Linked DNA regions of Elephas maximus indicus. The protein of the gene in region 2 purifies or fractionates together with the protein of the main gene of each other region. This does not show direct contact. Links are inferred from orthologs where the notes say so. Each region holds a gene or a part of one and is shown on either strand. Other genes may lie near its edges.

The links. Proteins that work in one complex are often made in the same cells at the same time.
Region 1: the proteins of SORBS3 (region 2) and DLG5 purify together in Homo sapiens (co-immunoprecipitation; 3 studies listed by BioGRID and IntAct, with this or other methods). This does not show direct contact. The link is inferred for Elephas maximus indicus from reciprocal best matches to the Homo sapiens genes SORBS3 and DLG5.
Region 3: the proteins of SORBS3 (region 2) and WASL purify together in Homo sapiens (co-immunoprecipitation; 3 studies listed by BioGRID and IntAct, with this or other methods). This does not show direct contact. The link is inferred for Elephas maximus indicus from reciprocal best matches to the Homo sapiens genes SORBS3 and WASL.

Annotation. Positions count from the first base shown.
Region 1 is NC_064834.1:9,142,302-9,150,266, forward strand, and holds the start of DLG5 (disks large homolog 5), read left to right. Parts: upstream 1-4,949; 5' UTR 4,950-4,986; coding exon 4,987-5,290; intron 5,291-7,965. UniProt on the Homo sapiens protein: Acts as a regulator of the Hippo signaling pathway.
Region 2 is NC_064840.1:52,127,566-52,135,418, forward strand, and holds the start of SORBS3 (vinexin), read right to left. Parts: upstream 3,005-7,853; 5' UTR 2,493-3,004; intron 1-2,492. UniProt on the Homo sapiens protein: Vinexin alpha isoform promotes up-regulation of actin stress fiber formation. Vinexin beta isoform plays a role in cell spreading and enhances the activation of JNK/SAPK in response to EGF stimulation by using its third SH3 domain.
Region 3 is NC_064826.1:25,970,972-25,978,626, forward strand, and holds the start of WASL (actin nucleation-promoting factor WASL), read left to right. Parts: upstream 1-4,639; 5' UTR 4,640-5,068; coding exon 5,069-5,185; intron 5,186-7,655. UniProt on the Homo sapiens protein: Regulates actin polymerization by stimulating the actin-nucleating activity of the Arp2/3 complex. Involved in various processes, such as mitosis and cytokinesis, via its role in the regulation of actin polymerization.

The DNA of each region.
Region 1 (7,965 bases), on a different chromosome or scaffold from region 2:
AGGAGTCAACCTTGGGGAGAAAGGAGCCAGTGGAGCAGACGGGGGAGAGAGAACAAGAGGATGTTCTGAGGATGGGATGAAGCAGCCCAGAGGTGATGCTGGAGGTATGAAGGCAAGGCTTCAGGAGGCTAATGTGGAGAACCAGCTTTCTGTGGGGAGTTATGTTGAGAAGCTAGATATCAAAGCACCAACCAAGGAGTGAGAAGTCTGTGAACTTCTAGAGGTCCCCTAAGCGTCACACCATGTTTCTCTCCTAAGTAAATGCGAGAGGGAAGGCTTTTGAGAATGGGGAAGCCCCAAGCCTTCTGGTTGACATGAGTCAGAGCAGAGGGAAACTTGGACAGTGGGAGAAAGTGGGATAGCATATGACGGTGGAGGGTTCTGGAAAAGGGGTACGTGTGTGTCTTTGCATGTGTGTAGCGTGCAGGGATTGCATCCAGAGCATGGAAGAGGCTGTTCTCTAAGGTGCACCTGACTCAAGCCATGGTATTTTCAATCACCTCATATGTATGCGAAAGGTGGACAATGAATAAAGAAGACCAAAGAATCGGTGTCTTTGAATTATGGTGTTGGCAAAGCATATTGAATATATCATGGGCTGCCAGAAGAATGAACAGATCTGTCTTGGAAGAAGTACAGCCAGAGTGCTCCTTAGAAGTGAAGTTGGTGGGACTCTGTCTCATGTATTTTGGACATGTTATCAGGAGGGACCAGTCCCTGGAGAAGCACATCATGCTTGGTAGGGTAGAGGGTCAGTGAAAAAGAGGAAGACCCTTGATGAGATGGGTTGGCATTGTGGCTGCAACATGGGCTCAAACAGAGCAACAACTGTGAGTATGGTGCAGGCCTGGGCAGTGTTTCGTTCTGCTGTACGTAGGGTTGCTGTGAGTTGGAATTGACCCAGTGGTACCTAACAACAACATGGAAGAGGCTGTTCTCAAGGAGGAGACACCCTCTTTTTCTAAGACCAGAGAAAGGTGGAAAGGTGAGTAAATCTCCAGAAAAATACTTAGGCAGTTGAAGAGTGCGACGATAGTTTGATTTGTCCAATGGGGACACCCATCTTTGTCCTTCATACCTCCCCAATTGTGATGGGGCCCAAAGTAGATAGTGTGGGGGAAGGTGCCTGTCTTAGTGATCTAGTGCTGCTGTAACAGAAATGCCACAAGTGGACGGCTTTAACACACAGAAGTTGATTCTCTCCCAGGTCAGGAGGCTGGAAGTCTGAATTCAGGGCACTGGCTCTAGGGAAAGGGCTTTTTTTTTTTTTTTTTTTTGTGGCTCTGGGAGAAGGTCTTATTCCTTGGTTCCTTGATGATCTTCCTGTGGTGTAGTGTATCTCTTTTCCCACCTCTCTCTACTTGCTTGTTTAATCTCTTTTATATCTCTAAAGAGATTGACTCAGATACACCCTACACTAATCCTTCCATTAACATAACAAAGACAGCCCAATTCCAAATGGGATTGTAACTGAAGGCATAGAATTTAGGACTTACAACATGTATTTCTGGGGGACACAATTCAATCTGTAACAGTGCCCCAAAGGGTGTCAAGTGCTACAGAAATACAAGATCATACCAAGGTCACTGATGAAAGGAATCCTAAAGTAAATGTTTTTATAAAGTAAATTGTCTTCTCTAAACTGTATAATTTGCATAAAATCCTAGAGTTTCTATAAAGAAGGGTTTACTGAAAGTAGTTTCCAGCCTACTGAGAAAGTACTCTTAGCAAATGGGCCTGTTCACTGCTCCCACTAAGACTCACAGGGGAAAAAAAAACATACATGCTCCCCACCATCCTTTCAGGGGTCCTGGGAGACTGTGCCTCCCTCCTGCCCCTTCCTGTCTCGGGCACCCTTTGGATATCTGAGACTTATTCACAGTCAGTTCTAACCATAAACCAAATTCGTGTCTGACTTCTTTCTCCCTATTTCCACTTTCCTCCCACTCCCTACACTTGTAGCTAATCCAGCTGAGAACAGAGGCTCCAGGTGTGTTCTGAAAGGTGGATGCCTTTGAGGATGGTTTAGGCTGTGCACTTGCTGTAAGGGAAGTCAGGGGAACCATCTCTCAGGTGGGGCAGGAGGGGGAGGAGAAGAGAGGGAGCTTGTCTAGAGCCCTGGCAATGTGCAACAGGCGATTTTCCTTCCCCTGAAAACTTGCTCAGGCATAGAAACTGAGACTGAGTAGAAAGGTATATAAACATAACTTAGTTTCATTTTGGAGTCCATTTAGGAGTCCATCTTGGGTTATGGAGGCCTTAAAGAACTTGATGAAAGTCAATATGGTTGGCTGGAAGGCTGGAGGCTTGAGTCCACCCAGAGGCGCCTTGGGAGAAAGGCCTGACAATCTATTCTGAAAAATCAGTCACCGAAAACCACGTGGAGCACAGTTCTACTCTGGCAGACGTGGGGTTGCCATGAGTTGGCGTCCACTCCATGGCAACTGTTAATATTTTTTTAATGGAAGCTTCATCCCAGAAAAATACATAAATGTCCACAAAAAAAGTTTCAGATAAAATCAAAAGCTTCATGGACACCTTCAGGCTTATCCACGGACCCAAGGTTAAGAACACCTGATCTAATAAACTCTCTCTGCCCCATTTTCCTGATGAGAAAAACAAGATCAGCAAGGATAACTGATTTGCCCCACAGCACTGAAGCCCAAAGGTCAAAGGGCAAAGATGTCACCCTGCAGACTAAGGTGTGCCTGACCCAAGCCATGGTATTTTCAGTCGCATCATATGCATGTGAAAGCTGGGCAATGAATAAGGAAGACTGAAGAAGAACTGATGCCTTTGAATTGTGGTGTTGGCGAAGAATATTTAATATACCATGGACTGCCAAAAGAATGAACAAATCTGTCCTAGAAGAAGTACAACCAGAATGCTCCTTAAAGGCAAGGATGGCGAGACTGCATCTTACATACTTTGGACATGTCATCAGGAGGGATCAGTCCCTGGAGAAGGACATCATGCTTGGCAGAGTACGGGGTCAGCGGAAAAGAGGAAGACCCTGAACGAGATGGATTGACACAGCAGCTCCAACAATGAGCTCAAGCATAACAACGACTGTAAGGATGGTGCAGGACCAGGCAGTGTTTCATTCTGTTGTGCATAGGGTCGCTATGAGTCGGAACTGACTGGAAAGCACCTAACAACAACAACAACAGCTGAAGCCCTGGTGACGTAGTGGCTAAGAGCTCGGCTGCTAACCAAAAAGTCTGCAGCCGCTCCATGGAAACCCTATCGGGCAGTTCTATTCTGTCCTAAAAGGTCGCTAGAGTTGGAATCTATCCCACTGCTAGACTTTTGGTGTTTTCTTTCTTTCTTTTTTTTTTTTTTTTGGGATATGCAGCTATTTAGAGGGAAAGTCAAAACCTAAGTGTAAATTCTGACACTCTTGCTCTAAGCACTATATAAAGAGTTTGCATCCATTAAATGAAAGACCACTCCCTGTCAATGAAGCAGTATGCTTAAGAAAACTTTTTTGCTGGACTTGGCAAATGGTGATGGTGGGAGTGATGGTGTTAGTAAAAAAATCACGTGTGTCCCCAGCGTTTGTAAGTGAGAAAAAAAAAAAAAAAAGTGAGACTCACTCTAATACAGACAAGTAGAAGGGGACCTGGAATCCCAGTCTAGAGCAGTGTGGTGGAGGTTACAGACAGCAATCATTTGGGATTCTACCTTTTAAGGAGCTTGTCCTCCAGGCAGGGCATTGCTGCGGTAATGGAAGGCAGAAAATCTTCTGGGGCTTGGAAATCGCAGAGGAGATTCTCAGTGAGATCTTCGGGAACGCAGGTTTCCACAGCCCATTGATTTGGCCCCTCCCGAGGCCAGCTAGACTCTGGGGTGACATCTAAGGGGGAGTGCACCTCTCTCGCGGAAAAGACGAACCATTCCACTAGAAATCCACCTTCTTCCTCGCCCAGCAACATTACTCTCCCCACCCCCACCCCCGCATCCGAACCCCTTTAGACTCCGAGACCAGCCCATCCTAAATAGGGGTGAAGGGTAAGGGAAGAGACCGGGAAAAATCCTGATTAACCGAGTCTCAGTTTAGGGGACTTCACTGGGAAATTCTCTAAAGAGCTTCTTGGAGTGGAGACCTCAGAGATAGGAGGGAGGTCCTAACTGGAGATGTCCCAGTTTAGGGGACTCCCCCCAGTTGTCTCCTGGCTTTACTCTGGAGTTGTCATGTTAGGAGACCCCGCCGAGCGCGCGCGGCGGCCCGCCTCCTCCAAGGGCCGGGAGCGGGGAGGCGGGGACCCCTTTCCTTCGCCCGTCCCCTCGGTCACCGCCTCCTCTGGGGGCAGACCTCACGGGCGCTCGGAGGGACGGCCGGGGGAGGGGAGGGCGCGGAGGCACCGGCTGGCGGCGGCGGCGGCCGGGGGGCCCCGGGGAGCCGGACCGGGACGCAGGGGCCGGGCAGGGCCGAGGCGGCCGCCGAGCCCGGGCCGGGGCCGTCGGGGGCCCTGCAAACGCCTCCCTGGCCACTTTTCCCTGGGAGTTGGAGTCTGTTTCGGGGCCCGGGGTTTCGGGGCGCGTTTTCGCGCGGAGCCGGGGAGGGAGCGCGCGCGGAGGGGGAGGGGAGCATGCCCGGCCGCAGCCCGGCCTCGGGGCGCGCCCCGGCCGCCGTCCCCACCTCCTCCGCCTCCTTCTCCTCCTCCGTCTCCTCCTCCTCCTCTCCCAGTCCCGCCGCCGCCGCAGCCAACATGGCTGCGCTCCTGAGCCCGGGAGGCGGCCGCTGCTGAGCGCCGCTCGGCTCCCCGGGCCGCAGCCGCCCAGGCCCCGGCCCATGGCCCCCGCGGCCTCGCGGCTCCCGGCGCGCTAGGGCTGCAGCCGGCGCTCGCCCGCCCGGCCGGAGGCGCCGCGGGCCCCCTGCGCGCCCCCTGCGCGCCCCCCGCCGCCCTCTGCGCGCCCGCCGCCCGCCGCCCCCCGCCGCCCCCTGCGCGCCCCCCGCCGCCCCCTGCGCGCCCGCCGGCCACCATGGAGCCCCAGCGCCGGGAGCTGCTCGCTCAGTGTCAGCAGAGCCTGGCCCAGGCCATGACGGAGGTGGAAGCCGTGCTCGGGCTGCTGGAGGCCGCGGGCGCGCTGAGCCCCGGCGAGCGGCGGCAGCTGGACGAGGAGGCGGGAGGCGCCAAGGCGGAGCTGCTGCTCAAGCTGCTCCTGGCCAAGGAGCGGGACCACTTCCAGGACCTGCGGGCGGCGCTGGAGAAGACGCAGCCTCACCTGCTGCCCATCCTCTACCTGAACGGCGTGGTCGGGCCGCCGCAGCCCGCCGAGGGCGCGGGTGAGTGTCGGACCCCCGCTCCCGGCCTCTTGCACTTGCCTTCCACGCCTTGTCTCCCCAGCTTCCCAGGTGGAGGGCCACCGATCTACCTGGCGCTGGCCTCGGGTAGAACCTTCCCGCCTTATCCCACCTGCGGGAGGGGGCGATAGGTGGATCCCCGATGCACACCTGGTCCCCCAGTGCCACCGCTCGCTGTGATCAGTGCCCCGCACGGAAGGTCTTGAACCTCCTAGGTGCTACAGAAGCGGGTCCGTCGGAGGCCGCCAGATCCAGCCATCGGGGGACCTCAGACGGATGTCTGTCTGTCTGTCAGCCTCTTTCCTAATCTCTTCACCATCCGCTAGTCCCTGGGGAGCCTGTGCGAGCCTTTGATCAAGTCTGGAAGGCTGGGGAGGCCGGGCTAGGACTGGCGCTCCTGGATTTTGAGCCCTTCCACCCCGTCGCAGGATCACTTGTGCCTTTTCACTCTCCGGCTGTCTCAGCTCCCTTCCTCCCCCAGAGCTGTGGCTGATTGTGCACAATGCCGGCTAGGTTTCTGTGGGCCGGGAAAAGTTGGGGAAGTTGCACTGCACCATGGGAAAATCCTGGTAGTGGCTGCTGCGGCTCAGCTCTCTCCCTGACGGGACTGAGTTGCCTGAGCAGGAAAGGCTGGTGGGCCGGTTCCCTTGCTGGTGTCTTCAGGGCCCCCTGTGTCCTTGGTCTTAGGGGTGACCGTTTGGAGAGTGTGCCCGGCATCCGTGAGGGAGGGTGTGCGTGTGGGGGAGCTGCTGGGAGTTTGCTGCAAGCGAAAGGCTTGGCCTGGCCTAGTTGGGGGGTGTGTAGCCAGCCTCCTAAACGGGGGAGAGAGAGAACTAGCATTTATTAGGCACCTACTGTGTAGCAGGCATCTGCTTTGTCATTTCTTGTTTAATTGTTACTGCCCTATGAACTTTATTAGTTCTACTTTGCTGGAAACTCCGGCTCGGAGTCGTTAAAATGCTCATATTGGGCACCAGGAGTTTTGAATGATGATTTCTTGCTTCATTTAACACATTTGAAGTCAGGGAACAGTGAGTGCCACCTTTTCCAGGTCTTGCCCCTGTTTTACGAGTGAACCAAGAGGGCTGAGAAATTGCCCTTAGCACTTACATGCAGAAGGCTGATCGGACCCATTTATTTGGCTGTTAAAAGCCTCACTTGTTAAGGGAATGATTTTATAAGCTGTTCCTCGTAGCGGCTCTGATGTGTATTGGCCATCCCAACCTCAACTTTTATAACTGAAGGAAACTGACATGCAGAGAGACTAAACTCTCTTGGCCACACAGCAGGCTGTTTCATCGGCAGCCCTTCCGTCTCCAGTTTGGGCTTTCAACTCTTGTATTTCTGTCCCTCCAACCTGCATTCTGCCCGCTCAACTGTGGTTGGCATCTGGGTTGCTGGGCAAACCCAGTTCTCCCCTGGGATGGTGCTTTGAAAGATGCTGAGACTGTCAGATGTGGCCATGGGAGAGGACAGAGGAAGACATCATCAGGGTAATTTTTTCTTTTTAATTGCTCTTATTTATCTGCCTAAAAAAAAAAAAAAAACACACACATATAACGTATAACAAATTATAGCTAACATTGTGGAGAATGGGAATTTTGGAACACTTAATTGTGCTTATGAGAAATCTGTACATGGATAAGAGGCAGCCATTCAAACAGAACAAGGGGATACTGCATGGTTTAAAGCCAGGAGAGCTGTGTGTCAGGGTCATATCCTTTCACCATACCTATTCAATCTGTATGCTGAACAAATAATCTGAGAAGCTGGACTACATAAAGAAGAACGTGGCATCAGGATTGGAGGAAGACTCATTAACAACCTGCGTTACGCAGATGACACAACCTTGCTTGCTGAAAGTGAAGAGGACTTGAAGCCCTTACTAATGAAGATCAAAGACCACAGCCTTCAGTATGGATTACACCTCAACATAAAGAAAACAGAAATCCTCACAACTGGACCAATAAGCAACATCATGATAAACGGAGAAAAGATTGAGGTTGTCAGGGTTTTATTTTACTTGGATTCACAATCAGTACCCGTGGAAGCAGCAGCCGAGAAATCAAAAGACACATTGCATTGGGCAAACCAGCTGCAAAAGACCTCTTTAAAGTGATGAAAAGCAAAGCTGTCACCTTGAGGACTAAGGTGCGTCTGACCCAAGCCATGGTGTTTTCAATTGCCTCAGATGCACGCGAAAGCTGGACAGTGAATAAGGAAGACCAGAGAAGAACTGATGCCTTTGAATTGTGGTGTTGGCGAAGAATACTGAATTGAATATACCGTGAACTGCCAAAAGAATGACCAAATCTGTCTTGGAAGAAGTACAGCCAGCATGCTCCTTAGAAGCGAGGATGATGAGACTTCGTCTCATATACTTCAGAAATGTTACCAGGAGGGATAAGTCCCTAGAGAAGGACATCATGCTTGGTGAAGCAGAGGGTCAGCGAAAAAGGAGAAGACCCTTGATGAGATGGACTGATACAGTGGCTACAACAGTGGGCTCAACCATAGCAACAATTGTGAGGATGGGGCAGGACTGGGCAGTGTTTCGCTCTGTTGTGCGCAGGGTTACTATGAGTCAGAACCAACTCCACGCCGGCACCTAACAACAGTAACATCTGTCTGCCTACCTATTTATAACCCCTGAGTGA
Region 2 (7,853 bases):
AGGAGGGGAAAACCTTGGGAGGGGGTTGGGGTCAGCTGGGTGGGAGCCCACAGGACCCAGGAAACAGGCCACTGTGGGCACCCGCCTGCAGGCTGCCTGTGCCAGCTCCCATAGGCACAATGGACTGCTTGTTAGGCCCTGGGCAGGAGCTCCTGGTGGGAGTGGGGGTGGGGGAGGCCTGGGCAAGGAGGAGGGAAGGCTGGCCAGGAGCAGGCTTGCTGGACAAAGCCTCCTTGGGCATGCAGGTCTGCAGGACCAAGCTCCGGCCTTCGCCCTGTTGGGCAGCCTCTCTGGGGCTCTCACTGCATAGCACAGCCTGCTCCCCCAGAGGAAGGCAGAGGGGAACTGGGGCAACTGGCAGAGAGGGGTAGGGGGATATGAGACTTTGTTTCAGTTCCCTCTGCCTCCCCCAGTCCCTGAGTGAGCATCTGCTTGCCAGCGGGCACAAGGAGCAACTCAGGCCAGGGGAGAGGCCCTGGCCAACAGCAAGGGCACCGCCCACTGCCCGCTGGGAAGCAGTGGTGGCACCCTAAACCCGAACAAGGCCAAGGTTCCGGGGAGGGGTAGAGTGGGGGGCATTTCCAGGCAGCAGGAACCACTCCTTCTGAGCTCAAAGGGAGTATCAGCTCCATCCTTTATCTCCCTTCCCTCAGACTGAGGACTCAGAGGTTCAGCGTGCAGTGAGGAGGGGGTGGAGAGAAGTAGCCGGTGAGAGGAAAGGTGGACCTGGAGGGTATTCCCTGGTGCTCTCTTGCACATGGTCACACACACACACACACACACACACACACACACACACACACACACACACACACACACACTTCCTCCTATGTCTTCAGACTGATTGTTGGATGGAGGATCTTCCCTGGCCAGCCAGGTTCTACTGAGGTTAGGTCAGGGGTAAGGGGCTCCAGGCATTCAGGAGATGGAAATGGAGGAAGGGAACTCAGAGGGGTGGGTGGAAGAGGACAGGGAGGAGGTTCTCAGGTCAGGGTGTCTAATGAGGCTCTTCTACCCAGAAACTGGTGTGGAGGCTGTCCCACCTCACCTTTGCTGTTGGACTGGGCCACTACCTTCTGGGGCCAGACTAGTTCTGGGCTTTTTGCTCAGTGTGACTGTGTGTGCCTGTGGGGTCGGTGGGGGTTCATGGGGAGGGCAGCCAGTGGGATGGGAATGGAGGTGGAGTGATGTGGCTCTGACTTGTGGGGGTGCCACCAGTGGGGATCATGTGAGCAGCATGGGTTGTGGGTACAGAAGGGAGTCAGCTGAATTGTATGTGGGTGTGTGTATGCAGTGGGTGGTCATATGAGCAGCACACGACTTGCGGGGACCAGAGGAGATGAGGGTGCATAGGGGCTGTGACTGGTTGTCAGGCCTTGGGGGGGGTTGGCAAGGGTACAGACAAAGCTGGGGGCAGCTCCTTGTCTCTGGTCTGAGTTTGGGGGGATTCCTTCTGACATTCGAGCAGTGGCCTGTTGGGGATCTAGCTTTTCCGTGGCTGTGGGGAGTGGAGGGCTGAGACTGGAGGAGGGGCAGCTCACCAGCTGGATCCCATTAAGACTCCTATCAAATGCGAAACATGCAGACACATCCTAGTTCCCCCACTGCTCTCTTCCTTGTGGGGAAATTGAGGCAGAGGAGAGTGGGAGGTCAGGAGGCCCAGGACAGGGTAGGTCCAAGCAGGGACCCCTCCCTGTCCAGCTGACTGCTTGAGGCCAAGTTGCCTGGTCAGCATCTGCAGTCTCTGCCCGTCAGCTGACCAGACTCTTCCTTTCCCAGCCTCCCCATTCCACTCTGTACTCAGTGACAACTGCCCTCTTGTAGAGTGGTGGATGGAGGGCAGGAGGTGCCCCCCAACCACTTGAGTTTTCAGGGGTTGTTGACCCTTGATGCCTCAGCCTGCCTGCCACCCCACCCCCATCTGGCCCAACCTTCAGGGATAGACAGAGGTGGGGATGGGAAGGGTAGTCTGAGTTTTTCTCCTCGAAGCCCTGCCAGGAAACATTGGGGAGGGCTTTTCATAGGGACGATGAGGCACCCAGGGGAATTGGACCTGCATCTGGCAGAGGACAGAGGGTGCCTGGACATTTCTGGTGTCCTTCCAGAATTCATCCAGCCCCTTTCCTTCCAAACAGCCAGCTCCAAAGAGCTGGAAGAGATGCGGTACTTCTACTTCGGCTGGCAAACACCTTCCCATCTCTAAGTGCTGCTTTGACCTTGGGGTCTTGGCCCTACGCACTTTTCCAGGTCCAGCTACAAGTCCACGTGGACTTCTCAACTTTCCCCTTTTCTGGATTGACGGGAGGGAGGAACTTCCAAGCTCTTTCCACCTCAGTTTCCCTGAGTTTGGGACGCCCAGCCTCTGAGGACCCCAAGGGGAGGGGCTCTACTGCCTTCCCTTTGGGCTTGGCGCGGGGCAGGGTTGGCTCCCTGGTCTCTCCCTGACTGCGGCCTCCGCCTCCTCTCCCGCCCCTCTCCATGCCGGCACCTACCTTCCCCGGCGAGCAGGTGGCGGGGACTGAGACCGCCTGGGAGGGCAGGAGCATCTCTGCTCGGCTCCCGCCTGGCGCGGCCGCTGCGGGCCCTTAGGGAGGGGCCCGGGAGAAGTCCGAGATGTGCTCTCTCCCCTCGTGACCGGGTCAGGACAGGGCTCCGAGAGGCTGGGCGCACGAGGAGGAAGAAGGAGGCAGAGGCAGTGAGCGAGCGCGAGCGCGCTGGGAGGCAGGGGACGTGAGCTTTGGCAGAGGGAGGGCGACCGGCGGAGTTTGTGTTTCCAATCTGGACTGTTTGCGGAGGGGTGGGGTGGGGGGCCGGCTACTCCCTTTCCCGCCTCGCGGGGCGGGGGCTCGAGGACAGCCCGCCAAGGGCGTGCGAGTGCCCTCCGTCCGGGCTTTGGCCGGGCGCCCCGCGGGGACGCTGGTGGCTCCTGGCCCAGGAGGCCGGGCCGGCCGGGAGGCGGCGCCGGCAGGAGCCACCCGAAGGTCCCCGGGGAGCCTGCTCTGGTTTCCCAGCTGCCTTTCCCCGGCCCCCACCGCAGGGCTGGCGTCGGACAGGGGGCGGAGGAGCCAGCAAAGGCCACTCAGAGTTTCCAGCGACACTTCCAGCTTGTGGGAAGGGAGCGGCTGCACAGCCGAGCCAGGACAGGGCAGGAATGATTAACAAGAACTAGCCCTGGGCCCCAGGGCCCGAGTCGAGCCAGCAGCTGATACGGAGTCCGCAACCTCAGAGAAGCCCGAGACGGGCCAGAGATGAAGACAGGCTGGGACCAAGATAAGCCGGAGAACGCCGAGGGCCTCCCAGACAGAGCTGCAAAGCGGAACGAGTTAAGGCCTTGGAGAAAGATTTTTGTGCTTGCGTAGACACGCGTCCGGACGTGTGCAAACACACACACACTCGCCTGCAAACATGCCGATGCTCACACACGTGCAAGCACCGAGGACTGCCCGGGGAGAAAGTCAGCCTGAGGGAGCGGCCCACTGGGCGCACCACGCCTCTATAGGATGAGGGTGGGGCCCCTCTGGCCGGGATGGGGTTAGGAGGGTCTTGGTGTTCCCATACGCCGTATTTATTTTGATTTTGTTGCTTTTCCGCTGTTCCAGCTGCTCTGGCACAAGCCCCAAGAGCCCCGCCCATGGGCTCCCTGACCTTTCTGGCTACGCCACCCCTCCCCCGCCCGCCCTGTTTGCACAGGGTCTGTTGTAGAAAGCGGGGATGCTTAATGAATGCTTATCGATAATGGAAACAGACGCTGGAGTACTTCTAGCTCTTGGCTTGGCTGTGGGACCCCAGGCCCCAAACCAACAATCCAACAGTAACTGAGCAACTCCACATACTTTTTGGGACAGAACAATGACAGATTTTGAAAACATGTAAACATGGACCGCATACCTACTGGGTGTAAGGTTTGTACTCTGAGGCCACAATACACCTTGGAGTACTTACTCAAAAGTTGAGAGTGGGGAAGGGGATGAACAACTTTCCACCTTTACCATCCTGAACGTTTTAGCTTTATATTTTTTCTATGCAGTTGAAAGAGCTCAATCAGGATGCCCAGAATGAGCGTGAAACAATGTCCCATAGAAAACAGCTGAAAGAGATGTTTAGGCTGAGGGGATACTTAGGAGAGACAGGGCATGCTGGCTATCTTCCAGTACCTGCAGGGTTGCCACGTGGAAGTAGAGTGGTTGCACTGTGGGTCTAGGAGCAGAAGTGGGACCATTGGGTGTAAATGATAGGGAAGCAGATCCAAGGCTTCCAAGGAAGAGTTTGAGGGGAGGCAGCCGTGCCTTTTCCCTCCCCTAAAACTTGGATACTTACCACCCCTAGGTACTATGGGCTTCCTCCCTCAGGGACAAACTATGTGCTCATTTCCCTTGGAAACTGTGGTGGCATAGTGGCTAAGAGCTATGGCTGCTAACCAAAAAGGTCAGCAGTTCGAATCCACCGGGCGCTCCTTGGAAACCCTATGGGGCAATTCCACTCTGTCCTATAGATAGGGTCGCTATGACTTGGAGTCGACTATTCGAGTTGGAATCAATGTTCCCTAGTCACCAGTTTTTCCTACCTGTCAGGGTCCGTGGGACTAGAAAGGACCACATCACTTTCATTTTTTTCCTTGTTCTCCAAAGATGGTGACGCTGAAGATCTTCCAACTTTGGGAATCCTGGCCATACCCTCTCTCCCCAGGAGCAAGCTTCCTTTGCTTTCTAGGGCTCTGACCAGGACTCCAAGATAAATATTTAACAGAGGTTGCAGCTGAGCTGACAAAGGTCCCAACTTCCTGTTTGTCATAAAGGGAGGTGGCAGCCATCGGTAAGGAGCTGGGGACTGGCTACCACTTTCATCACTATGGGAATAGGGAGTCCAGTAAACAGCTTTGCAAGAGGAGGCGGGACAGGCCCAGGTGGTGACCTGAGCCTTTTTCCTAAGCTGCTTTGACTTTTGCCTGTCTCGCTAGGCCCCTGTTCCGGGCTTACCACCTTCTCTCTCAGGTCAGAACCTGCTTTGCCCTGGCACCAGTGGACACTCTCCTTCCCAGAGTCTTAGGCTCTCTGTTAGACAAAGGAGGGTCTATGACCAGATCCCCCCATTGTGTTCCATGGTGCCCATCTGACCTCACAGAAGAGAGGATGAGAGATTGGTGGGAGCATAGCGCAGGAAAGACATAAGGAACTGTGTGGCTAATTCCTCCTTTTCTGCCCATATTTAGGGAGAAAAATTCGTCTCCTTGGAAAACTGTGAATGATGGGAAAAAAAGTAGCAAGGTCCAGGGATTCAGCCAAGAACCAGGTATCTGGTGGGCAGCTCCTGTCTGGAGGTTAGATGAGAAGGCAGAGGGGGCAGGAGCTGGTTGAATGGACACGGGGAATACAGGGTGGAGAGGAGGAATGTGCTGTCTCATTAAGGGGAGAGCAGCTAGGAGTACATAGCAAGGTGTGTATAAGTTTTTGTATGAGAGACTGACTTGATTTGTAAACTTTCATTTATAAGCACAATTAAAAAAAAAAAAAAAAAAGAACCAGGTGTCTGATTTCTCAACTTCTCCCTCTAGCTTCAGCTCTACTTGCTGCTGGCCTAGCTCCACAGCAGGCATCTTTCTAGGGAGAGACTGAGGATAGGGAAGGTCGTCCTAGATAACATTAGCTGTTGTCAACAACAGAGCAGATTCCTTTCATCCCAATGTGCTATCTCCTGGGCAGGATTCCCTTATATCTTTCAACAGGGACCTCCCTCCCTGTGAGTCGGCCTCTTCTCCACCTATGGCACTGCCTTTTGTCAGGAGGCTCCCTCTGCCTTCTCAGAGCCACCTGAGCCAGAGTAAACACAGTTACATAACTGCTCTGTTTCCCTAGCAATCTGATCCCAGTCACCAGTATTCTGTCCCCCACCTCCCCACCCCTTAGGCTGCCGCCTTTTGTTCTGTGGATTATCCCCCAGTAGCGCCCATGTCAACAGAAGTCTGTCCATTCTCACCACTCTAAAGGACCATTAGCCAAGAGACTGCCAATAAAGGATGTGGCTCTTCACACGGAGGGGGAGAAGAGGGTGGCTGTTCATACAGAAATGAAGGTCACTCTGAAAACCAACCTCTGTCGCCAGAGAAAGGATGAATGGAAAGAGCACTTAAGTAGCTTTTTTTGTAACAAGGAAGGTCAGGTGAGTAGGAGAGAGCAGAGAACTCAGTTTCATTTCTCAAATGGGAAAAGGGAAGCAAGGGATCCCAGAAGACGTAAACCTGGACTCTCGTTTCTTGGGGAGTGTCTTTATCCAGGGCTGAAGTCTAGCATTCATGTCACACTGCTGAGCTCCACCCTGCTCAACCAAGAGGCTCCCCAGCTCTGTGCCTCAGTCCCCCGTATTAGATAAAGGAAGGGCAGACGAGCCCTGGCATATTCTTCAGTTAGGCTTTGAGCTGGTTTCTCAATTGTGCTCTCAGAAAAGTGTTTTCTTCCTGCCAGGGGAACTCAGCAAGTAGACAAGAATGGGTTAGGAAAGAAAGTGCTGTCCCTTTGGAGGAGTTTGGTCTTCTCTGGAGGGGAGGTGAGGGACTGAAATAAAGTCATACCAGATGTACGAGCACAAATCTGGACTGTTTCACCCCCTGGGCTCCTTTCCTCTCTCCTGGTCCTCCTCTGATTCTAGCGCCTGCTTATGTTGCCAGCCAAGTTCTATTGATGCCCGTTGTCTGTGTCAGCCACTCATGGGAACAGGAGACGGCAGAGGAGGAAAGGGCTATTTCCAAGCCTGGCCCATCTGGAATCCAAGTGTTTTGGGGGTAGTCACTGTGAAGTGAGGGATCTCTGAGAGTGAAAAGCTACACAATACAGGTCAAGTATGTCAGTGTTAGGCCAGCCAGGATGAGTGCGTGGAAACCCATAGGAGTAACATTATGAGGCTTTCAGGCCTGCTTTGCACAGATCTTTCCATAGCGTTCGCATGCTGTAACAGGCATCTATTCAGGGTTCTCAGAGTCAATCAAATCCAAACCCTGAAGGCTGTGAGAGAGTTCAGCCTGTTGGCCAGTGTATCTAGCTTATCCCCAAGGAAGCCTTTACACTGACATCACATCAACGATTGGTCTCTCTCTTCCTCTTTTTATAGATGAGCAAACAAGCACAATGTTGTTGCCTTTGAGAAGAACTGAACTGTATGAACCGCTTTTAGTTCTCAGGCAAGATGGAAACAGCAAGTGGCTGTCAGCTCTTTAGACAATAGATTTTATACGAGAAGGATAAATGAGTGATGACCTCAGAGGGAAAACCCAGCCAAGTCAACTCAGCCACAAAGAAGGGCACAGAACCAGGAGTTGGAAAATTAGGTCTGCATCATCCTTCTTTCCTAGCTCAGGTATACTGAGATAATAAGACAAGAGGGCTAATGTGTTGACTAGTGGATACCATGAGGTAGTGCTTTGGCCTCTAAACAAAGAATAACCTTGTCTTCCCACCTCCTTGAATTCTATGATGAACCTTTTCCTTAACTGCATCAACATTAAAGAAAAGACTACCTAATTGGCCATTAAATTCTTAATCCCTTGTATCAAAACAAAACATACTTTTTCCCCAAAATCTCAAAGTTGTGGTAAGAAGCAAAAAGTGAGACCCTGCAATTACACATACTGGGCAAGAAAGTGGGGATTAGATCTAGATATAGTTAGAGAGGAAACCCTGGTGGCATAGCGGTTAAGTGCTATGGCTGCTTACCAAGAGGTCGGCAGTTCAAATCCCACCAGGTGCTCCTTGGAAACTCTATGGAGCAGTTCTACCCTGTCCTATAGGGTCGCTATGAGTTGGAATCGACTCAACGGCTGTGGGTTTTATAGTGAGAGAGAAATAAGAATTTCATTTGAGTCA
Region 3 (7,655 bases), on a different chromosome or scaffold from region 2:
TATTTCTTGAATAAAAGTATGCATTAGGTGTCTGGAGACTAAGCCACATAGTGGTAGTAAACAGCACTGGTAATTCACTACTATGAATAAGAATTCAAGTCTCCATTATCATATGTAAAAAATCAGAACAAATGGTTAGTAAGCTATCAATTCTTTTAAACAGTACGCCCCAAAGGAGCTTGTACTCAAAACGAATTTAAAAGGAAGGGGGGAAAAAATAGCTTACTTTTTAAGATTTTAGTTGTTGAAAAATATTCAACATCTGACTTGGTGGTACATGTAGAAGAACAAAATCTCTGAAGCACTGCTATCTGCAACATTTACATAAAAACATGCGGAAATATTTTAAAATGTGAACATTTTAAACCCATGACACCTGGAGGTTGGATGGGAGAAGTAGCACTCATCACCCCTACAGTATCCAGGTTTGCTGCTGTTATGTCTCTATAAGTAATTCAGTTCTGCCATAACCAAGTAGCACATTAGTACCAGCAATTCCGGCTACAATGGCTGCTGAATGCCAAAGATCCCCATGTGCACCTCCTTCTATATTGCCCCACAATGAAGGCTGTCACTACATTTTAGATTATTAACATTAGCAAGGGGAACGGGCTGTTTCAGAGGACTTGTAAGAGTACATACACAATGACATTTCTAAAGAAAAAAATGGATAATAAAGAACCAGAACAAGAGAAATTTGCAAAGTGTAATGACGACATCAGGGAATGCATCTGAAAATATGCCCTTATTTCCATAAATAAGCTACCTTAATGTTTTCTGCTAAAATGAGAGTTTTACTCTAAGGGATCATAGTAAAGAAAGAAAAAAGAAAAGTACCAGAATAGACTCCAGTTAAATCAAGGAAAATTCAAATGGAAGAAATTAAACTTAAGAATTTCCTTATTTTTATTTATATTCATAGACATTTTAATATTGCACATATTATATATAAAATCTCTATGCCTGAACTTTCATAGTCACACATGACTTCTCTCAGAGACATTTTCTATGAAAGTGATTTTCATAATAGATTTAGAGTGTAAACAGTGAAACAGTAGAAATTGTCATCACTTTTTAAACTCTTTTCAGCCTTCTTTTAAGGGAAGGGTTTTTATAGGAGGAAGCATACTGAGAATAATTTGTATTTTATATATATATATAAAGCTTCTCCTTGTATCCTTAACCAAGCCAGTGTAGAAGGTTAAAATTGCCTTTTTCTGAACAGAAGGCCCTTACCATGTTGCTATGAGAAGTACTCCTTCAGGGTGATGCAGAAACAGATATCCATTTCTGAGAGTTTTGATGCCACAAACCTCAGATGGGCAACACACAAGAACCTCACCTGAGTGTGTCTGGGTGTGTTGTAATGTCAGCCTAACGGTCTGTGTACATTTCTGAATATGAAGGATGGATTGGTGAGTTAACGAAGAAATGAATGAAAGCCGTTTGGGAGGGAAGTGAAAGCTCCAGGGACAGAATAAAATTCCTCGCTTGCAAACTTTAGGCTATCCACTTGAAGGGAAATAGAACCTTTCTTATTTCCTGGATCAAATCCAATCTCTCAAACTAAGTAAAAAGAATTTGAGATAAGAAAATAACTTGGCAAAGAAAAAAGAGAGAGAGATGTCTTCTGCCAAACAGAGGACACACTATCAAGAATAAAAGGAAGAAAGGACTTGTTAAAACTGCTAAAAGAAATGCAGTCAGTACTTCTTGGTCTCAGTGTGAACATGGAAAAATAGAACGTTTTATAAATGGGAAGGAGGAAAAATAAATATTGCTTGTTCACGTGTTCAAAAGGGTAAGGAAGTCATATTTCCAATGTTATGTTCATGCTACATTTTCCTCATTTTAAGAACAGTATCAAGGAATTGAAAAAAGTCCACAGGTAAGCAAAAATAACAAAAAAGAGGATAGAAAATAATAACTTAAATTGTGATTTTGTGAACAAAGTACTACAGAGTATTTAGATTTTTTATAAAAAATTTAAGAAAATGGTTTGAGTTTAAGAAATTTATGGCGGTTATAATTTTCAATCTTCATTTCTAACAAAGACAGAACAAGGGCAAAGAATCATAAAACTGCATTTAGAAACAGATACTTAAAATTTCCTGAAAGGATAAAATAGTAATTAAAACAGTACTATTAATAAACCAAACCCTTTGCCCATTGAGTCAATTCTGCCTCATACTGACCCCACGTTTCAGATAACACTTGGAAACACATGGAACTGCAAATGGTTAAGCACCTGGTTAAGTTCCCACTACTAACAAAAAGTTGAAGGTTCAAACCCACCCAGGGGTGTCTCAGGAGAGAAGCCTGGCAATCTGCTTCCAAAGGTCACAGCCATGAAAACCCTGTGGAGCGCGGTTCTACTCTATAACACGTGGAGTTGCTATGAGTTGGAATGACTTGACAGCCACTGGGGGTGGAATTTCTAATGCTTTCTTCTGTCACTGTTTTAAACTTATAGGAACTGTACTTTTGATACAAGAGACAAATTGATTTAGCTTCTATGGTTATTTTGCTAACTCTAATTCAGAGGCAACCTCAAGTTTACCTTCTTACTATGCCTTTCTAAAACTGGAAACCCTGGTGGCCTAGTGGTTAAGTGCTATGGTTGCCAACCAAAAGGTTGGCAGTTTGAATCTACCAGGTGCTTCTTAGAAACTCCATGGGGCAGTTCTACTCTGTCCTATAGGATCACTATGAGTTGGAATCGGCTGGATGGCAGTGAGTTTTGGTTCTAAAAAGAATTATTTTATAAATAATCCTATTGCTTTTTTCTTTTTTTTTTAAATCACCTTTTCCTTAACATTGTTAAACAGGTTTAGTTTTAAAATACACATCCATATTTTAGATAAGCGCTCCCAAGGCTATACACTTTCATTTTCCCTTGCAGGTTTATTCCTGTTGAGCCAATTTCATTTTACTTGGATCCATAATCAACAGCCACAGAAACAGCAGTCAAGAAATCAAAAGACACATTGCATTGGGTAAATCTGTTGCAAAGGACCTCTTTAAAGTGTTGAAGAGCAAAGATGTCACCTTGAAGACTAAGGTGCGCCTGACCCCAAGCCATGGTATTTTCAATCGCATCATATGCATGTGAAAGCTGGACAATGAATAAGGAAGACCAAAGAACTAACGCCTTTGAATTATGGTGTTGGCTAAGAATATTGAATAAACCATGGACTGCCAAAAGAATGAACAAATCTCTCTTGGAAGAAGTACAACCAGAATGCTCCTTAGAAGCAAGAACAGCGAGGCTAAGTCTTGCATACTTTGGACATGGTATCAGGAGGGATCAGTCCCTGGAGAAGGACATCATGCTTGGCAAACTACAGGGTCAGCGGAAAAGAGGAAGACCCTCAAGGAGGTGGACTGACACAGTGGCTGCCACAATGAGCTCAAGCATAACAAGGATGGTGTAAGGATGGCACAGAACCGGGCAGAGTTTTGTTTAACTGGGCATACGGTCGCTATGAGTCGGAACCGACTCAAGGGCACCTAACAACAAGCCAATTTCAGTAAGAACAGCTTTAATTTTAAATATGCACAATATTCTGAGTGTATTTACAGTGGTTTATCAATTTACTTAATACATCAGGTTTGTATTGGGAGCTACTAGAGGTGTTAGAATCAAATCGTTTTACAAACTTTTGCTATCAGATTTTTTTGTTTAATTAAATTAATTTGCAAGTATGATGATAAACTTTATGCAATAAAACTAATTTGTTTAATGTGGAGAACAGGCAGATGCATAATTCACTGTAGTCGGTATTACTTCCATATTCCAAAATTTCGTTTTACGATATTTAGTATTCAATATATTAGCAAACGGGGCTATCTCTGGTAACTTTCAACATCCTGAGGCATACCAAAAAAAAAACAAAAAACAAAAGAAACCTTGAGTTTACGTCTAAGGATTAAACCAGATAAGGTATCTTCCTGTGTGACATCCCAAAATGGACACATTATGTGGAGCAAAAGTTAACAAGGTCTTTGAGATTTGAGAAATAGAAAAAATACTGGGGTGGGGGGACGTTGTCTTAATTCACACGACAGAGTAAAAAAACGTGTTCAGGTCTCTTAGAAACAGAACTTGAACTGACATACACGTTTATCCCAGGTGACCGGAGGCGCGGCCGACTTTCCTAAGTGCGTTTGTTCTATCTCACAGCCGTCACCAGGGACAGATCTCGCCTTCGCAATCCCGGGAGAGGCCTGTTGGAGCCTCCACTCCCACTGCTGAAGTCTGGACAAAGTTCGAGAAACCCCGAGCACCTGCGGCTCTGACCACAACAGGCGAGCAGGACACGGCGGGGAGCGCAGGTCTTCTCCCCGATGTTCTGTCTCCACATTCCAGGCCTTTCCGACCAGCGGTGTGCGCCTTCTGTTTCCGCGCCTCGGAAATAAGAGCCGTTCCGGGGAACCGGGCCTGGGTCCTCACCGACATAACGCCAAGGTGCGCGTCCGCAGACAGCCGCAGCGAACAGCCCTCACGCTCTCCTCAGCCCCGGCCCCTGCAGCAGGACCGGGGAGGCCCGAGCCCGCGTCCGGGAGCGCAACCCCGAGTCAGCCGTACGGCCCGCGCCGCGACCGGAAGGAGGCGTGGCCTCGGGCGGCGCGGCCGCGGTTGGGGGAGTCCCCCCGCCAGGCCGCACGCGCGTTTCCGGCGCGCTCCCCCGCCTACTGCGCCCTGTGGTCTCGCCCGCCCTCGCTGCCATGTTGGATTGTGCGGCCGCCGCCGCCGCTGAAGGCCAGGGACGACGATTGGAGGAGGAGTTGGGAGTTTAGCGCAGTCGCCGGACTGTGAGGACAACGACCATCCGGCCCGGGTCTAGCCGGGCGGGAGCCCGGAGCTTTCCTTTTTCAGCGCGGCCCGAGGACGGCCCGCCGTCAGCGCCTCCTTTCCTTCTCCTCCTCCTCCGCCCCGCGCTGAGGAGCTGCGAGATGCTGCACCTCTGACTCCCCTCCTCCCCACCCCTGTCACCGAGAGGGGGACGAGCGCTCTCCCACTCGCCAGAGGAGACGGCCCTGGACTCCCAGCCCTGCCGGCCAAACCATGAGCTCCGGCCAGCAGCAGCCGCCGCCGCCGCGGAGGGTCACCAACGTGGGGTCCCTGCTGCTCACCCCTCAGGAGAATGAGTCCCTCTTCACCTTCCTCGGCAAGAAATGTGTGGTCAGTGGCCGAGATCCGCGCCGCCACCTCGACGTTATCGCCCGGGTTGAGGGTCGAGAAGGGGAAAGGGGGAGCGGGGAAGAGGCGGGAGCGGCGCCGGGAGGGTCCCGCTGCCCGCCAGGCCTCTGCCGGCCGGCCCAGCGCCGCGCCCTGTCCCCTGCCCTCGGTGCTGCCGGGACGCGGAGGAGTGTCACCTCCGCAGGCCTGTCCTGGAGCCCGCCGGGCGGGGACCCTGCCCGCGCCCTTGCTGCTGGTGCAAACTTTACTCGCCGGCCACAAGGGGATTTTCTTGCAGGAGGCGCTTGATCTCAGAACCCGGGCCCCTGTCTGGCCCTCGCTTCACGTCCTACTCCTTGATCAGGGCGTGCCTTTCTTCACAATGCCAAAGGTTCCAGGAGAGGATAGGTCAGGGAATGGAGCCTAAATGGGAATGAAGCAGTTCTCTTTTAGGATCTCGGGAGGGAATGAAGTCGAGCGCGGGGTCCTGAGCTCTCTTCGCTTCGGAACAAGGGCAGGAAATGCTACTGATTTCCACTGCCGAAAAACAGGGTTTATTTCTCCACCAGTCTCAGCCAGGCCCGGCTTCTCCTCTCCTTCCCACTGATGAATTTTCCCCCCCATCGGCAAGGGGGGGTGCTTCTCACCCCACAGCCATGAGCGGGGAAACCGCAGTCTCGAGTAGTTTTTGGCGGTTGGGGCTTGAGAATGATTTTTAGGTTGGGGCTCTGCGGCCGATTCCAATCCCAGATGGCCGGGTTGGAGCAAGCAGTTCTCCGGTGGGAAGGGGTATGTGTGTTGTTGACGGAAGCGTTCATTACATTGGCTGCTGACACTTCTGGGGGTGGGGAGGTTCTGCTCCCTGGTGTAGGCCTTGTCAGGCTGCATCTTACTGCGGTGGTTGAGTTTGTTGAAACGCTGCCTAGGTCCTTTTCTCCTCCTTTGCTGGTTAGCACCTGCAGAGTATGCCACTGGGGCCCAGGAAACACCTAGGGGAATTTCAACAGAGCTTTATCATCTGATAACCTTCCTTAAAAAACCTTAGTAACATTAAATATGCCCAACCAGACTACACCTGGTTGTTTAAGACGTTAGACAATTTCTGGAAAGTTAGCGAATTAATTCTTAACTTTATGAGATTCTACACTTTGTAATCTGTGCCATCCACTTGGAGATTGAATCGCATCCAATTTCAGATGTGTTTTCATATTGAAGTTAGATTTTAGAGAGCGGAATTTGAGTTTACCAATTAGAGGAATGAAACAAGAGGGTGGCTTAAAACCAGAACTTTGGGAAACATCTTTAAAATAATCAAATCTCTTCCACAAATACATACACTTTTTTTTTTTTTTTTTTTAAGAAATGAGAACACTGAGCCAGTGAGCCCTAAGTCACATAACAATTTAGTAATGTAACTAGAATTAGAAAACAAGAACTTCAAAGCCTAGGCCATTTTATTTTCCACTACATCATATTGCTTTAGAAGATTTTTTCCTTAGCTGTTATTGATTTATTTCTTAAGAGTACTATTAAAAAAGTAATCCCTTCTTTTTTCTTTTCATCAAAAACCAATATAATTAAAATGTAAGACTCTTAAAGCAGAACTAATTTATCTAGGAAAATCTTCAGCACTTTAAATTCTGTTACCTGCAAATGATTTTAAAAAAAAAAGAATCCAGTTTTGCTCGTTTATTACATTTACTATGTAATCTGTATCAAAAAGCACATACCAGAAACATTAGGCAGCATGTTACATTTATACACAAATATAGTGACTAATTGCTTTGTGCTTACCATTAGCATCTAACTGATTTGAAAAAATAACGTGCAAGAATGCTGTGATAGAGAATGATAGCCTTGTTTACTGATTAGCATATGAAGATTGTAGAATAAATTGTCAATATTCAGTGCTTAACTTCTTATGTCATCGGTTACTAACCAAGGACTTTACGTTTTGAATTTCTTTCGTTTAAAACTGCATTGTTATAGTTGCCTCCTCTTGTGGGAGGAAATTGTTGTAAAGATTAGCTTTAATGCTTGAAGTCCCCAGTTAATAGTAAAGTAAGAATGATATTATAATTTTTTTCAAACATTTATTTTTCTTTGCTATTTATACCATTTTTGTTAGTTTAAAAATACTGAAATACATTGTCCTATAATAAATTGGCAGTAAATTTGATCTGATTTATAGGTCAGATTTCTTAGGCAAGTGTATTTAGAGCCTATCTAAGGATTTAAGAAATGAGACAAGCAGTTATAGTTCGAACTCTCAAGGAGTTTCATTCCATCTTTCATTCATTCAACAAACATGTATTGAGTAACCAGCGTCGAGGTCAAAATCAGGGCTGAGGAGCTTACTGTGTCTAAAAAGGGAAACAAATATATAAACTGATGAGTAAGGCAATACTTCAAGAGTGATGCGTAAGAGGCATACTGTCAAAATGGAAAACGCCTTGGGCTTGTAGTCAGCAGA